2 linked regions of the Oryctolagus cuniculus genome follow. The protein of the gene in region 2 interacts with the protein of the main gene of each other region in a pairwise test. Links are inferred from orthologs where the notes say so. Each region holds a gene or a part of one and is shown on either strand. Other genes may lie near its edges.

Evidence for each region.
Region 1: the proteins of FNDC11 (region 2) and GPBP1 interact in binary tests that used the Homo sapiens proteins (3 or more experiments, as listed by UniProt). The link is inferred for Oryctolagus cuniculus from reciprocal best matches to the Homo sapiens genes FNDC11 and GPBP1.

The regions. Positions count from the first base shown.
Region 1 is NC_091445.1:77,921,985-77,928,975, forward strand, and holds part of GPBP1 (vasculin), read left to right. Parts: intron 1-739; coding exon 740-907; intron 908-1,420; coding exon 1,421-1,608; intron 1,609-4,894; coding exon 4,895-4,997; intron 4,998-6,991. UniProt on the Homo sapiens protein: Functions as a GC-rich promoter-specific transactivating transcription factor.
Region 2 is NC_091442.1:428,004-435,431, forward strand, and holds FNDC11 (fibronectin type III domain-containing protein 11), read right to left. Parts: upstream 4,320-7,428; 5' UTR 4,198-4,319; exon of another isoform or gene 4,163-4,197; intron 2,917-4,162; 5' UTR 2,908-2,916; coding exon 1,951-2,907; 3' UTR 1,889-1,950; downstream 1-1,888. Other genes in the region: tyrosine-protein kinase Srms, read left to right, coding at 7,276-7,428.

The sequences.
Region 1 (6,991 bases), on a different chromosome or scaffold from region 2:
ATTTCTTACTTGTGTTCTCAATTGTAGGATTGTTGAGCTGTAAGGGAACAAACATTCTTAGCTGGTTCATTGTGCTTAGGTTAGTTATAATGCTCAAGTATTAAGACCAGCAATTAAGTATTATTGTTCATTTCCACAGATAAAAAATCCCATGACAGTTGTTGACATTGTCTATTGTATTCCACTGTCAAAAGAAAAAACAAGGAACTATAACCGAAAGAAATCAGTTAATGTCAGTTTTCCCCCTCCTTTCCGTATCTTAGAAAATTTTTCCTGGTGAAATCCAACAGATAAACCGTGTGTAATCTTATTTGAACTATTGTGTAAACTCTGGAATGTGGAATACAGTTTGAAAAACTGCTGTTCCGTGTACAAGGGTATTTCAAGAAGTTTGTGGAAAATGTGCATTGTCTTTTTATTCCATTTTTCATGAAGTTTTAAAAGTGCTCTTATAGAAATTTTTAGGCAATTCTGTGCTGCATTTATCAAGTAAACTCGTAATTTGAATCTGAGTCTGAATATTTCCAGGCTTTCTTTGTTTCTAGGGCAAACAAACTCACTGATTAATTCAGTAGTTAAGAAAAGGGAGGAATGGAGAGAAATAGGTTTAAAAAATAGACCTTAAAAACAGTTTTGCATTGTGAATAAAGGTAAAATAGGAAGCTGTGGTAATTGTGAACTTTATATTGATACTGATTCCCTGGCTACATATTTATCAGTATTTCTGAATTTCCCTTAGTGTAATCGCTCCAATTCCTCTTCACCTGTTGACAAACTTAATCAGCAACCTCGCCTAACCAAATTGACTCGAATGCGTACTGATAAAAAGAGTGAGTTTTTGAAAGCATTGAAAAGGGACAGAGTAGAAGAGGAACATGAAGATGAGAGCCATGCTGGCTCAGAGAAGGTAATTGAATTTTTATTACTTGACTTCCTATTAAGATGTCATTAAAATATTTGGGCAAATATTTAGGACCATGAATTACTCTGATCGAATTTTCAATTTTCTGAAAAGGTCAATGATTTATATAAATATGATTTGCTTTCTAAAGTAGTTTTTTCTAATTATGTAGTTACTTTGCAAAAATAAGTGTTAAAATAAGTTGTCTTCATATCTCTTTCCTTCTGATTTCCCTGCTTTCATCCTGCTTGCCTTCTTTTTTTTTTTTTTTTTTTTTTTTGGTTTTTTTTTTTTTTTTTTGTTTTTTGCCTTTGTTGAATAGATCTGAAGACTTAGGACCAGAGAGGTTTGAGTATCCTGTTCAGCTTAGTTTTTGATTCCTTGATGAGAATGTTTCCTAAACCTAATGATAAAATGTATTACATTAGTGCATTCTCATTGGAAATCTAGCCATGATCTATTGAAGTTTTTAATAACTGTACTCTTTAGAACTCATTTTTTTTATTCCCTAAAAATCAGGATGACGAATCATTTAATTTGCATAACAGCAATAGTACTCACCAAGAAAGGGATATAAACCGAAACTTTGATGAAAATGAAATTCCACAGGAGAATGGGAACGCTTCGGTTATTTCCCAACAGATCATTCGCTCTTCAACCTTTCCACAAACTGATGTTCTTTCAAGTTCACTTGAGGCAGAACACAGGTTAGTATTTTTTACTTTTTTTCTGGCATTTTAAATATTCAGGATTTCTATATGGCGTTCTAGTGACTTATTTTTTAATAGGCTTCAGATAGGATTTATAATAGTGTAAGTCTCACCCATTTTAAGTGTACAGATACCAGTGATTTTTAATACATTCACAGTGGTGCAACTGCTACTACAATCTAATTTTAAAACATTTCTATCACTGTAGAAAAAAGTCCCAAGCCCATTTACATTTTCTCTTTGTTTCCACTTGGTCTTAGACAGCCAGTAATCTATTTTTGTGGCCATAGATTTGCCTTTTTGGCTATTCATATAAGTGTAGTCACTCAGAATGTGATTTTTTGTTCTCTTTCATCTTTCATTATACATAGCACATTCAAGATTCATTTGTGTTGTGGTACATGTCAGTACTTTGTTCCCTTTATTTGTCTTGAGTAAATACCTAAGATGTTTGATAGTACATATGGCAATTAAGTTTGACATTCTGAAAACCTATCAAACTATTTTTCAAAATGCACTGTTTTGTATCCTCATCAGCAATATAGAAAGTTTCAGTTTCTCACCCATACTTGGTATCATCTGCCTTTGCTTATAAGCTTTCTTGAGGGTATGTGATAATGCCTTTTTTTTGTGGTTTTTAGTATATATTTCTCTAATGTCTAACAGTTTTGAATGTCTTTTCATGTTCCTACTGGCCATTTATACATTATCTGTGGGAGACAGAGTTTCTAAAATACACTCACTGCCTTTTTAATAATTTTCATCAAGTTGCTAAGAGTTCCTTATTTTATGTATTTATTTATATTTGACTTAAGGTGACCTTTTACTTCCTCAGCCATCCCTTTAAAGGCAAAATGTTTCAGGTTTTTGTTGTTATTGTTAATGTTTGTTTATTTCTTTGCATTTACTTGAAAGGTAGAGTGACACACAGAGATTTTCTATCTGCTGGTTCCTAAATGCCTGCAACAATCAGGCTGGGCCAGGTCAAAGCCAGGATCCAAGAACTCCATCTGGGTCTCCCACTTGGGTGGCAGGGGCAATTTGAGCCATCATTTTCTTCTTCTTCTTCTTCTTCTTCTTCTTCTTCTTCTTCTTTTTTTTTTTTTTTTTTTTTTTTTTTTTGACAGGCAGAGTGGACAGTGAGAGAGAGAGAGAGAGACAGAGAGAAAGGTCTTCCTTTGCCGTTGGTTCACCCTGCTGATCCGATGGCAGGAGCCAGGTGCTTTTCCTGGTCTCCCATGGGGTGCAGGGTCCAAGCACCTGGGCCATCCTCCACTGCACTCCCTGGCCACAGCAGAGAGCTGGCCTGGAAGAGGGGCAACTGGGGCAGAATCCGGTGCCCCAACCGGGACTAGAACCCGGTGTGCCAGTGCTGCTAGGCGGAGGATTAGCCTAGTGAGCCGTGGCGCCGGCCTTTTTTTTTTTTTTTTTTTTTTTTTTTTTAAGATTTATTATTTATTTTAAAGAGTTACACACAGAGAGAAGGAGATGCAGAGGGAGAGAGGTCTTCCATCCTCTGGTTCACTCCCCAGTTGGCCGCAATGGTGAGAGCAACATCAGTCTGAAGCTAGGAGCTTCTTCTGGGTCTCCCACACGCGTGCAAAGGCCAAAGCACTTGGGCCATCTTCCATTGCTTTCCCAGGCTATAGCAGAGAGCTGGATCAGAAGTGGAGCAGCCAGGACTCGAACTGACACCCACATGGGATGCTGGCACTTCAGGCAGCAACTTTATCCTCCATGCCACAGTGCCGGCCCCTTCTTAAAAAAAGAGTTATTTTTTTGAGAGACAGAGTTAGAGAGAGGCATTCCACCTGCTGGCCCCAAATGGCTTTAACAACTTGAGCTGGGCCAACCTGAAGCCAGGAGGCAGGAGTTTTCTCCTGGTCTCCCTCGCTGGTGCAGGGACCCAAGTGCTTGGGGCTTCTTCAATTGCTTTCCCAGGCCATTAGCAGAGAGCTGGATCAGAAGAGGAACAGCAGGACACTAACTGGCATCTATATGGTATGCTGGCCCCACAGGCTGTGGCTTAGCCTACTACATCACAGCTCCAGCCCCATGCCATCATCTTTTGTTCATGGTCACTAACAGCTGAAAGTTTACAGTAGCTAATATATGGCAGGCTGAAAGTGAAAGATGAGTAGTTGTAAATAGGCATATAGAAGACCTCAGGAATGCAATTTTAAACAAAACTTTGTCAGACCAGTATGATATAAGTAAGATACAGAAACTCTGAGCCTGTCGCCGTGACTCACTTGGTTAATCCTCCGACTGCAGCGCCAGCATCCTGTATGGGCACCAGGTTCCCCAGTTGCTCCTCTTCCAGTCCAGCTCTCTGCTGTAGCCCGGGAGGGCAGTGGAGGATGCCCCAGATGCTTGGGCCCCTGCACCTGCATGGGAGATCAGGAGGAAGCACCTGGCTCCTGGCTTCGGATCAGAGCTGTGAGCTGTGCCGATCTGGAGCCAGAAACTTCTTTGAGTGGGTGCAGGGGCCCAAGGATTTGGGCCATCTTCCACTGCTTTCCCAGGCCATGGCAGAGTGGATTGGAAGAGGAGCAACCAGGACTATAACCAGCACCCATATGGGATGCCAGCACTTTAGGCCAGGGCCTTAACTTGCTGCGCCACAGCACACCCCCTCCCCCCCTTTTTTTTTTCTTCAAAATTGGAAGGAAAATGGTATAGCCATATTTGGCATTTTTATTTATATTCTCTATAATATCTGTTAAGTCATTTTTGTTACTGAATGTGTCTCAAATTGCATTATGTTGTGGATGATGCTTGTTTTGTCATGCCTATAAGAGGTAATGTTAATAGATTATAAAATACAACATAAGGTAAACTATGCCAGCTTGTTTCTTCATAAAGTAGAAAACCTAGTAAGTAGCTAAGAATATAGTAGAGTATGGTGGAATTGAAGAAAAAGAGGAGGGGTATTGCTTTTACTTTTTGTACAAGAATTTACTAGATTTTCTTCAGGTCTCTCCTATTATAAGTTTTCTGCCCAGAAATCATTTGACTGCAGATTGGGCAGTTAAGCAGTTTCTTTTTATTTTATTATCAAAATTTATTAGACTTAATTTTAACCTGTTTTATTATTTGCAGATTCTAGGCTTAAACTCAACATCTGTTGATATGTCTTAGAGACTTTGTATAATGGATCCTGGATCAAGTTTTTTTGCATATAATATAAATGGAATTTATAATATATATGTTATATATAAATATAATGGAATTTTCTACTCAGGAGAAGCTCTAAATTGAACTTAATTTCATCCCTTTGTAGATTGTTAAAAGAGATGGGTTGGCAAGAAGATAGTGAAAATGATGAAACGTGTGCTCCCTTAACTGAGGATGAGATGAGAGAATTCCAAGTTATTAGTGAACAGGTAAGATAAGCTGAATTATGCAAGTTTACTTTTAGATTGCCCTTCCATAAATAGAGGAGCATAATTACAAGTAGGCATGGTGTGAGGGGTGTTATAGTTTCATTTAGTAATTTGTTAGACATCACATAATAGATCATAATTGCCTTTGTTTTTAGACAGCTCTGCAATGAGCTTTAAACTTTTGAGTGTGCGCTACATAGAAATTAGTGTCTATAATTTGTCAGTTTTGTTTATTTAATTTTATTTCTGGCATGGGTGACAAGTAGAGAGCATCAATAGCTTTCCAAACATCTTCACCTTGCACAAGAATATTCCATATTCCAAGAGCATCTGGTTTTACTTCTCCATAAACACCTTCCTTTCCACTATTTTTTTATTTTTTGTTTTTTAATTTGAGAGACAGAGAAAGCATGTACACTAGCTTCCAACTGCTAGTTCACTCCCTATATGTCCACAGTAGCTGGGCCAGGGCAAACCAAATCCAGAATCCAGGAACTCGGTTTAGATTTCCATGTCTGTGACAGGGACCTAACTGCTTGAGTCATTACCACGGCATTTCAGAGAATGCCTTAGCAGGAAGCTGGAGTTAGGAGCCAGAGCTGACATTGAACCCTGTCATTCTAGTGTGAGTTTTGGATGTCTTTAACTGTTAGGGCAGACATCTGCCCCCATAACTTTCCTTTTCAGAGAATATTGGGAAATGTTTGCTAGAGCATCAGGAAGTTGAGATACTTTTTATTTTTTAAATTACTCTGGTTATACATCTCTTGATTTTCTATACGGAGACATTATAATTGATTTTGTTGATCTTCAAAGCACTTCAGAAGTGTTTTGAATCGGATCTTTGAAGAAATGAGTCATTTCTAATTTTGTAATACAGTGAGTTTGAGCATCTCAATTAAAAATTTTAAAGGATGAATGTAGTATAGTGATCATCCCAGTGTACTTTTTGAACTTTTTAAAGTTTTTGAAGTTAAAAACTTCACATGACTTAACCATTTTAACATTGTACAGGTCAGTAAGCATTGTGGCACTGTTAAGCAACCATCCCCAATGTATATCTGCATTTGTCATCTTCCCAACTTGAAACCTCATACTCATTAATTTTATTTTATTTTTTTTTAAGATTTACTTATTTACAGTTACAGAGAGGCAGAGGCAGAGCGAGAGGTCTTCCATCTGCTGGTTCATCCCCCAGATAGCCACAGTGGCCGGATCTGGGTCGATCTGAAGCCAGGAGCCAGGAGCCAGGAGCTTCTTCCAGGTCTTCCATCTGGGTGCAGGAGCCCAAGGACTTGGGCCAGTTTCTGCTTTCCCAGGCCATAGCAGAGAGCTGGATAGGAAGTGGAGCAGCTAGGACTCGAACCAGCACCCATACAGGGTGCTGGCACTGCAGGTGGCAGCTTTACCTGCTGTGCCACAGCGCCGGCACCCCTATACCCATTAAACAATAGCTTAACATTCCCTGCTGCACCATCCTTGGAAAGCCCCCAGTCTAGTTTTTATCTCTATGAATTTGACAGTTTTCCATAGCTTACATTAGTGGAATCATGTAATATTTGTCATTTTGTGATGGACTTATTTCACTTAGCCTTATGTATTTCTTCTCAAGGTTCATCCATGTAGCATGTGTCAAAATTGTCTTTCTTTCTAAAAAAAGCTAAATAATGTTACATTATGTATATATATTTATTTATCCATTTATCTGTTGATGGATACTTCGGTTGCTTTTCTTTTTAGCTACTATAAATACTGCTCTAAGGAAAGTAGTACAAATAACTGTTTGAGTCCTTGGCTTCAGTACTTTGGGTATATTATATACCTAGTAGTAGAATTAGTGGATCTTAGGGCAACTAAATAAAAATTTTTTAAAGATTTATTTATTTATTTGAAAGAGTTACACAGAGAAAGAGAGGCAGAGAGAGAGAGAGCACTCTTCCATCTGCTGGTTCACTCTCCAATTGGCCACAACGGCTGCCATTGAGCTGATCCAA
Region 2 (7,428 bases):
CAGCCTTCATGGCTGAGCACTGCAGACAGTGTGAGGGGCTTGCCGGCCGCTGGCCACAGAGGGCACTGCACAGCATCCTGGCCTGCACTGTGGACCCCCAGGGTGCTCTCTGGTGTGAGGGGACCGTGCGGGAGGCTGACGTGGCCAGCTTCTAGCCAGCAGTGGGGCACTGGACGTGGAGTCCTGCCTACAGGGCGCCGTGCGCTGGACGTGCCTCGCCATCTGCCTCTTGGTCTCCACGTCGAAGGGCAGTGCGCGGTCTGCCTGCACCTCGTGTCTTCTGTGGTCTGCTTGGACCCCCCGTTGTCCTATGGGAGGCAGCCGAGGAGATCCAGGGCCCCCAGTGCCTGTCCACGAGCTGGACAGGGACTGTGCTGGGCGCTGTGGCTGAGTTCCTGGTCACGGCACCCAGCAGCCGCCAGCTCGAAGCTGCCCCCAGCGTTGCACCTGCCCCACTCCCGGCACAAAGCCCCCTCCAGGGAGGCAGGTCCAGCTGGCCACCTACACCGAGACCACGGCTGGATGGCGGCTCCATTGCCGCGACAGGCACCCCTCACCGGCTCCCAGAAGGCCTTGGGCCATCCCCACACCCTGGAAGGACACAGGCCGCAGAGCAAGCTCCTGGTGCGCCGGGGCAGAGCCCAGGGTGCAGGTGTTGCCGCCGGCTGCTGAGCCCCGTCCACGCGCGCTGGCCGCAGCCGGGACCAGTGGGGACTGAGCAGGCTCAGGAATCTTCCAGGCCTTGTGGATCCTGAGGGAACACAGCCAGGCTCCGGGGGTGTGGGCTCAGGGCTGGGGGAGGGTGAAGGAGGGGCCCTGGCTCCCGCCCCTCACATCTGAGCACCTCCTCTCCCGCTGCTGGCGGCCAGGGGCAGGTGCACAGATTCCTCCATGTGGCTTCTCCCAGGATGGCTGGTGACAGGGGCTCTCAGGGTGGCTGTTGCTGGGAAGTGTGGGGGCAGCAAGGGAACCCCCAGGGCTCAGGGCACTCCTGGAGCCGGTGTCTGCTGCTGGGAAGGGCCACAGTCCAGCCGGTGGCCAGGGGCCTCCCTCAAAGAGACAGCTCTGCTTCTGCCAGTCCCAGCCATCGGCCCTGAGCCGTGGGACAGATGGCCCGGGCAGGCAGACTGCCAGGGCACCTGCCCCGCCCCCACCACTGACCAGAGGAGCAGATCCCCTCCCAGGTCCAGTTGTCAGAGCCAGGAGGCGGGCCTGTCTGATGCTGGCAGCTTTTACAAATCACAGTCTTCTCACAGCGCGCAAGACCAGGCACAGACCTGTTACAGAGCTCCACTCCCTTCCGGGTGTGCTGACGTCTGCCGGGGGGGAGGGGGCTGGGGCAGTGGGGGCTGTGGGCAGTGGGGGGCAGTGAGGGGCGGTGGGCAGTGGGGGCTGTGGGCAATGGGGGGCAGTGAGGGCTGTGGGCAATGGGGGGCAGTGGGGGGCAGTGAGGGCTACGGGCAGTGGGGGGCAGTGAGGGGCGGTGGGCAGTGGGGGCTGTGGGCAATGGGGGGCAGTGGTGGGCAGTGGGGGGCATTGAGGGGTGGTGGGCAGTGGGGACTGTGGGCAGTGGGGGGCGGTGAGGGCCGGGGGCAGTGGGGGCTGTGGGCAGTGGGGGCAGTGGGGGCAGCAGCTCAGGGACGTGGGTTCCTGCCAGGTATCTGGTTCCCAGCTCTCGCCTGGTGCAGCCCTGGCTGTTGTGGGCATTCAGGGAGCAAGTCGACAGGTGGGAGAGATCTGTCTGTCTCTCAAATTCAAAAAAGGAAGGAAGGAAGGACGGCCAGGGCTCGGTTCTGGTTCTGGTTCCGGTGGAGGGACAGGGAGGCAGAAGCGCGGATCGGGCCGAGGCCGCCCTCCGCCCTGGTGGGGGTTCGGCCCCCAGGCTCTCTGCATTCATACGCGTCTTTATTAGTGCATAAATACTAGAAAATCATCTGTGGAGGGTGCGGCTCACCCGGCCGACTGGGGGCCCGGCTTGGTGTGCAGGGTGAGGCTGTCCCGCCAGGGCTCGTACACCAGCGTGTAGCTCTCGGCCCTCTTGATGGTGAACCTGTAGGAGCGGCTGGGCAGCAGGTTGCGGACGGCGAAGGCGCAGGCGGCCACGGGGATCACGCCGCCGTGCGTGCGCTCCTGCTGCGTCCGCGGCTCCAGCAGCTTGAAGCGCAGCTCGAACTGCTCGGGCGCCGCGGGCTGCAGGGTGACGAACCAGCGCAGGCTGGCCCAGTCCTGGTGGGCCACCGACTCCTTGCGGTCGAACATGACCGGCGTCTTGGTGCTCAGCATGAGCCGGATGTGGGGGATCTTGGTGGCCCCGATGTCGGACACCAGGCGGTGCTTAATGTGCAGGCGCCCGGGCACCATGATGGCCAGGAAGCTGTCCATGGTGGCCGACAGGTCCGTCAGCCGCTGCTCCACCAGCGCCCAGCCGGCCAGGAAGGGCCGCGGGTCGGGCGACTCCAGCAGGGCGTCCAGCACGGCGCGGCCGCGGTCCAGCTGCTCCAGCAGGTCGCCAAGCAGCAGCAGCTGGATCTTGGTCTGCGCCGTCCCCACCTTCTTCATGCGCTGGAACTTCCAGGGGTCGATGAGCTGGAACATGGCGCTGGGCAGCACCAGCGGGTTCTGGTCGCCCAGGGCCAGGTGCTTGGGGAGGACCTCGATGTAGTAGGAGCACTTCCGGAGCAGCTGCACGCGCGCGTGGTGGCGCTTCAGCAGGTGGGGGCTCAGGTCCGAGGCCAGGAACTCCCGCAGGGCGTTGCGGCGTTCCACGTAGGTCCTCCAGGCCTCGGGCTCCAGCAGCTGCTGGTCCTCGGCCTCCTCCGCCTCCTCCACCTCCTCCTGGTCCAGGCAGGACTGCGGGCTGTCCAGCTTCATCTTGTCCAGGCCCAGGCCCCTCACCTGGAAGTTCATGGCTGGGAGCTGGGGGAGGGGGCAGAGGGCCGCAGGTGAGCCGCCACCAGGCCGCGCACACGGGCGGCCTCAGCGAGCGAGGGGGTGGCTCTGGGCCCGCACCCTTCGACTCGGACTTCTGTCCCCCACGCTGGTCTGGGGAGGGCTGCCTGGCGGACCCAGCAGCCAGACGCAGGGCTGGACGACAGCGCGTGCCGAGGGGCCGGCTGTCTCCCGTGGGGACGACGTGGGGCTCAGAGTGGGCTGTGGATGCTGCAATGGCTGCCGCCCAGCCGTGAGGCCCTGGTCTGAGGCAGGGTAGCGTCAGCCTTGGTCCCGAGAAGCATGGACCCCCGGGGGGGCACCTGGGGAACACCCTCCCCACGGGTTCTCCCTGGGCACCCCCACGCCTCACCGCTTACAGTGCAGAGGGACCAGGGCTCCGCCAGAGGCAGGTGGGGCGGGTGCAGGAGCAGGAGTCCAGGCCCCCACTCTGAGAATACTCAGGCTTGCTGCTCTCGGGGTGCTGGGGTCCAGTGACCGAAGGTCCCACAAGGGGCAGACCCATCCCTCATCTCACAGATGGGGGCCTGAGGCTAAATCGCTTGGTGGCTTGCTCTTGTCCAGGGTTGGAACCCAGCCACCACGCCCAGCCCCACAGTCTGCCCCCTCCTCCCTGTCCCCAGGCCCAGGGTGCCAGCCCTGGGAGTCAGTGGGAGAGGCCGGTGCAGCTGTGGTCCCTGGCCCCGTGCGGGGCTGGCCCTGCAGCCCGGCATCCAGGAGCCACCCTGGGCCCGGGGCCCCCAGGGCTGAAGCAGCCCCCTGAGCAGGGCCATGGGCTTCGGGGGCGGGGAACCTCAGGCTGTGACCCCTGGCTGGTTGGGCGTGTTAAAAGGGAGAGACCGAGCCCCAGGAGCTCGCCCAGGCCACACAGGTGCTGGTGGGGGGGAGCAGTGCCCGCCCCCTGTTGGCTGTGACCTTTCTGGGGCAAGGGTCTAGATCAGGCTGCCGGGACCACAGGGGGCATCTCGGGGTGGAGGACAAGCTGAAGCCAGAACCCAGCGCCCAGGCCTGAGTCCACCCTAGACGTTTCCCTCCGCGGAAGAGAACCTGGGCTGGCAGTGAACGGGGGCAAGGCTGCTGGGAGCGCCCCCTCCCCAGGCCTCTCGGCAGACCCCACCCTCACCCTCCTCCCGCCCACCTAACCGCCCCCCCTCCCCGCCCCCGCCGCCGCCTCCTCTGCCGTCCCAGCGCCGTCCAGGCTGAGCCCACTTGCCCTGCGTCGCGAAGCCCAGCTGCTCAGCCACTTGCCCAGTGCGCGAGGGGGGACCCAGTCTCGCGCCTGCCGGCCAGTGGGTTGCCAAGAAACCGCGGGCCCTTGTGACGCCCCGCCCGGCCAGGTGGGGGGGCGGGGTGCCGGGAGACCCCGCCGCGGAGGGTCGGGGGAAGCCAGGGACCTGAGGGGCGGAGCGCGGACTGCGCAGGGCGCAGAACCCGCCCACCGGCTCCACGGGACGGCTGGACTCAGGGTCTTCGCTTCCGTCGCTAGGGAGCGCGGGGTCGGGTCCGCGCCCTTCCTAGGAGGCCCGAGGCCGCGGGTCCGAAAGCCGGGCTGAGCCAGCCGAGGCTGGCGGCCCCTTGGGCGGAGAACCCCTTTGGGCGGAGACCTCCTTGGGCGTCCGTCTGCGCACCGCGCTTCCCCTACGCCCCGGGGTTAGGGGCAGGGGCTTCCGCTCGACGCCCACTCGTGCGACCTCGACGGACTTGGGGAGGGAGCGACCTGCGAACCCTCGCGGGCCGGGGTGACCTGGCGGGAGGGCCCGCTCTGCAGGGGCTCCTCCGAGGGGTCCTCGGGCCCTTGTGTCCCATGCGTGTGTACGAGCGCGCTAGGGACCTCCGGAGTGCCCAGCTCGGGGTCTGCGCCCAGCGGTCCGCCTCAGCCACCTTGCCAGGAAGGAGGAGCAGGGAGCCCCTTCCCACCCGCGGCCTCCCCTGCCGAGAGCTAAGTGGCTCGACTCCCTCCTTTCCTCCCCCATTCCTGACTGTGATCCCAGCCTTGGGAGGGGGCTCCCAGAGTGGACCCCTGTAGGCCTGTACCCCACCCCCAAGCCAGAGCAGGCCCTGAAAGCGGGGCTGGGGGTGTGTGACTGCCCCTTGTCCGCCACCCAGCCTGGGCGCTCAGAAGGGCTCGGTAGATCACGCCCAGTCCTGGGCCTGGGTGGGGGGAGACCCCACTCCAAGCTGCAGCCCACGGGGAAGGGGCTGGCAGACCTGACCTCCTCCCTGGTCCCACAGCCCCCTCCTCTGTGTCTGACTCCCCAGAACCCCGGAGCACGGTTGCCAGCCTCAGCCTCATACCCAGGAAGCCCCCTCCTCAAAGCGCCGGGTCCCTGGTGTCCTCCGGGCGCTGCAGGCTCTGTGGAAGCCGGGGAGACAAGCTGCAGAAAGGCCCACGGTCAGGGGTGGGTTCCCAGCCGGGGCCGCCGGCCGGTCCCTCTGCGTCCCCGCCGGGGCTGTCTCAGTGGTTGGGGCCGCCGTGGGGCTGAGGCTGCGGTGTCTCCGTGTCTCCGTGTCTCCGTGTCTCCGTGTCTCCGCGGCATCGCAGGAGGAGGTGAGGCAGGTGGAGCCCAGCTGGAGGCACAGGGCAGTGGGGCCTTCATCTGGGGCGTGGGGGGACTGCAGGTGCTGGGTGGGGGAAGGGCTGAGGAGGGGCTGGGGGGTGCTGCTGGGCAGTCCGGCAGGAGGCCCGACCCCATCGCTCCAGGCCTCCCTCCTTGGGGTGGGGGACTCTGGGGCCCCCAAGTGGTTTTTCAGGAGACATTGTTTTAGAAAGATTAATTAGAAATTAATTAATAGGAGAGTCAGGGTGTGTGGGGGTGGTGGGGGCGCAGCTAGGTTTTCCATCCGCTGATTCACTTCCCAGGCCAAAGCCAGGAGCCAGGAACTCCATCCAGGTCTCCCATGTGGGTGGCAGGGCCCATGGGTCATTCTCGCTGCCTTCCCTGGTGTTGGCAGGGAGTGAAGTGGAGCAGCCCCGGCCTGGACGCCCAGATGCATGGCGACTGCCTGGCCTGGTTTCCTACGGGAAAGCATCCCTGTCCGACTCTGGTGGGGGGGCGGGGACGGAGCCTCGCTGCTGCATCTCAGGAGGAGGGAACTCCCACCCCCACCATGGGGCCTTGGCTACGGGCAAGGCTGGACGTCCACCATGCCAGGTCCCCATGTTCTCGGGAGACCTGGGGACAGGTGTGGGGCAGGGAGGGTGGCTCAGGGCTGGCCTGGGCTCCAGCTGCAGATGGTGCTGAGTCCCTGGGACCTCGAGGGCCTGACCCCACTGCAGTCAGCACTGGGAGTGCCCACTCCGGATGGCCGGCTTCCCAGGGCTGGGGGGCAGTCAAGGCTACAGCTGCATGCAGAACCCACGCTGGCTGGTGGCCTCCCCTCCCGTGGTTCTCCCCTCTCTGCCTGAACTCCACGCCCAGTAGGATGCTCCACAGCCCTCAGCCTGCCTGGAGCTGGGAGGCCGGCAGTCCAGAGCCGCGCCTCTCTGCACTGGCCACTGGGCATCTCCTGGCCCGGAGCGGCCCAGAGGGCACTTTGCATCGTCCCCGGAGCACCGGTCTGGGTTGCCTAGGAGCCGCCTCTGCTGAGCCCCTGTGTGCCACGTGCCTCTGCCGGGCGGGGGTCTGCCCTCTGCCCTGCACAGGAGTCTGATGAGCGAGATTTGGCCGCCATTCAGATGGTCCTGGGGCCGCTTGGGATGCCCTCGCCCGGTCCCGGGCCTGGGTGTGCGCCCCGGCTCTGCTGCCGCTTCCAGCGTCCTGCCGACGCACACCCTGCAAATCCTCCGCGATGGCTCTGGCAGGCAGGCAGGGGGAGACTGCCCCTGGCCTCCAACCGTGCCCAGCCCCGGTTCTTGGGGGCATTTGGGAAATGAACCCGTGGGGGAGGAGGAACTCTACTCTCAAATAAGTGAATGAATGCAAACTTAAAATAAAGAGGCGCTTTTGGCGCGTCATCCAGCTCACGGCCAAGCAGACTGCAGTCGGTGGGGCCCGCAGCTGGGCGGGGGAGGAGAGCGCGGCGACCCCGCCCCAGCCCCGCCCCTGCCCTCCCAGGCCCCGCCCCTGGGCCCCTCCCTCGAGAGCCCTCGGCCTGGGTCCGGGTCAGGGCAGGAGACCCCACTCCCGCTCCCGGGCGCGCAGTGCGGATCTTGGAGAGGAGGCTGTCCCTGCGGCCCGAGGCTGAGGGCCAGACACTGCTCCGGCTGTGCGCCTCGCTGCCCCGCGTCCGACCGGCCCATCCGGTGTCTCGGCCCTCGGGGGACCGTCCGAATCCCAGACCGCCCACGGACCCTGTCCCCGGCGCGGCCCGCTGCGCCCCGGCCGCATGGAGCCCTTCCTCAGGAAGCGGCTGGCCTTCCTGTCCTCCTTCTGGGACAAGATCTGGCCGGCGAGCGAGCCGGACGAGGGCGCGGGGCTCACGCCCGAGCCCCCTGCCGCTGAGCCGGCGCCGCGTGCGACTCCCGAGTCCCCAGCGCGC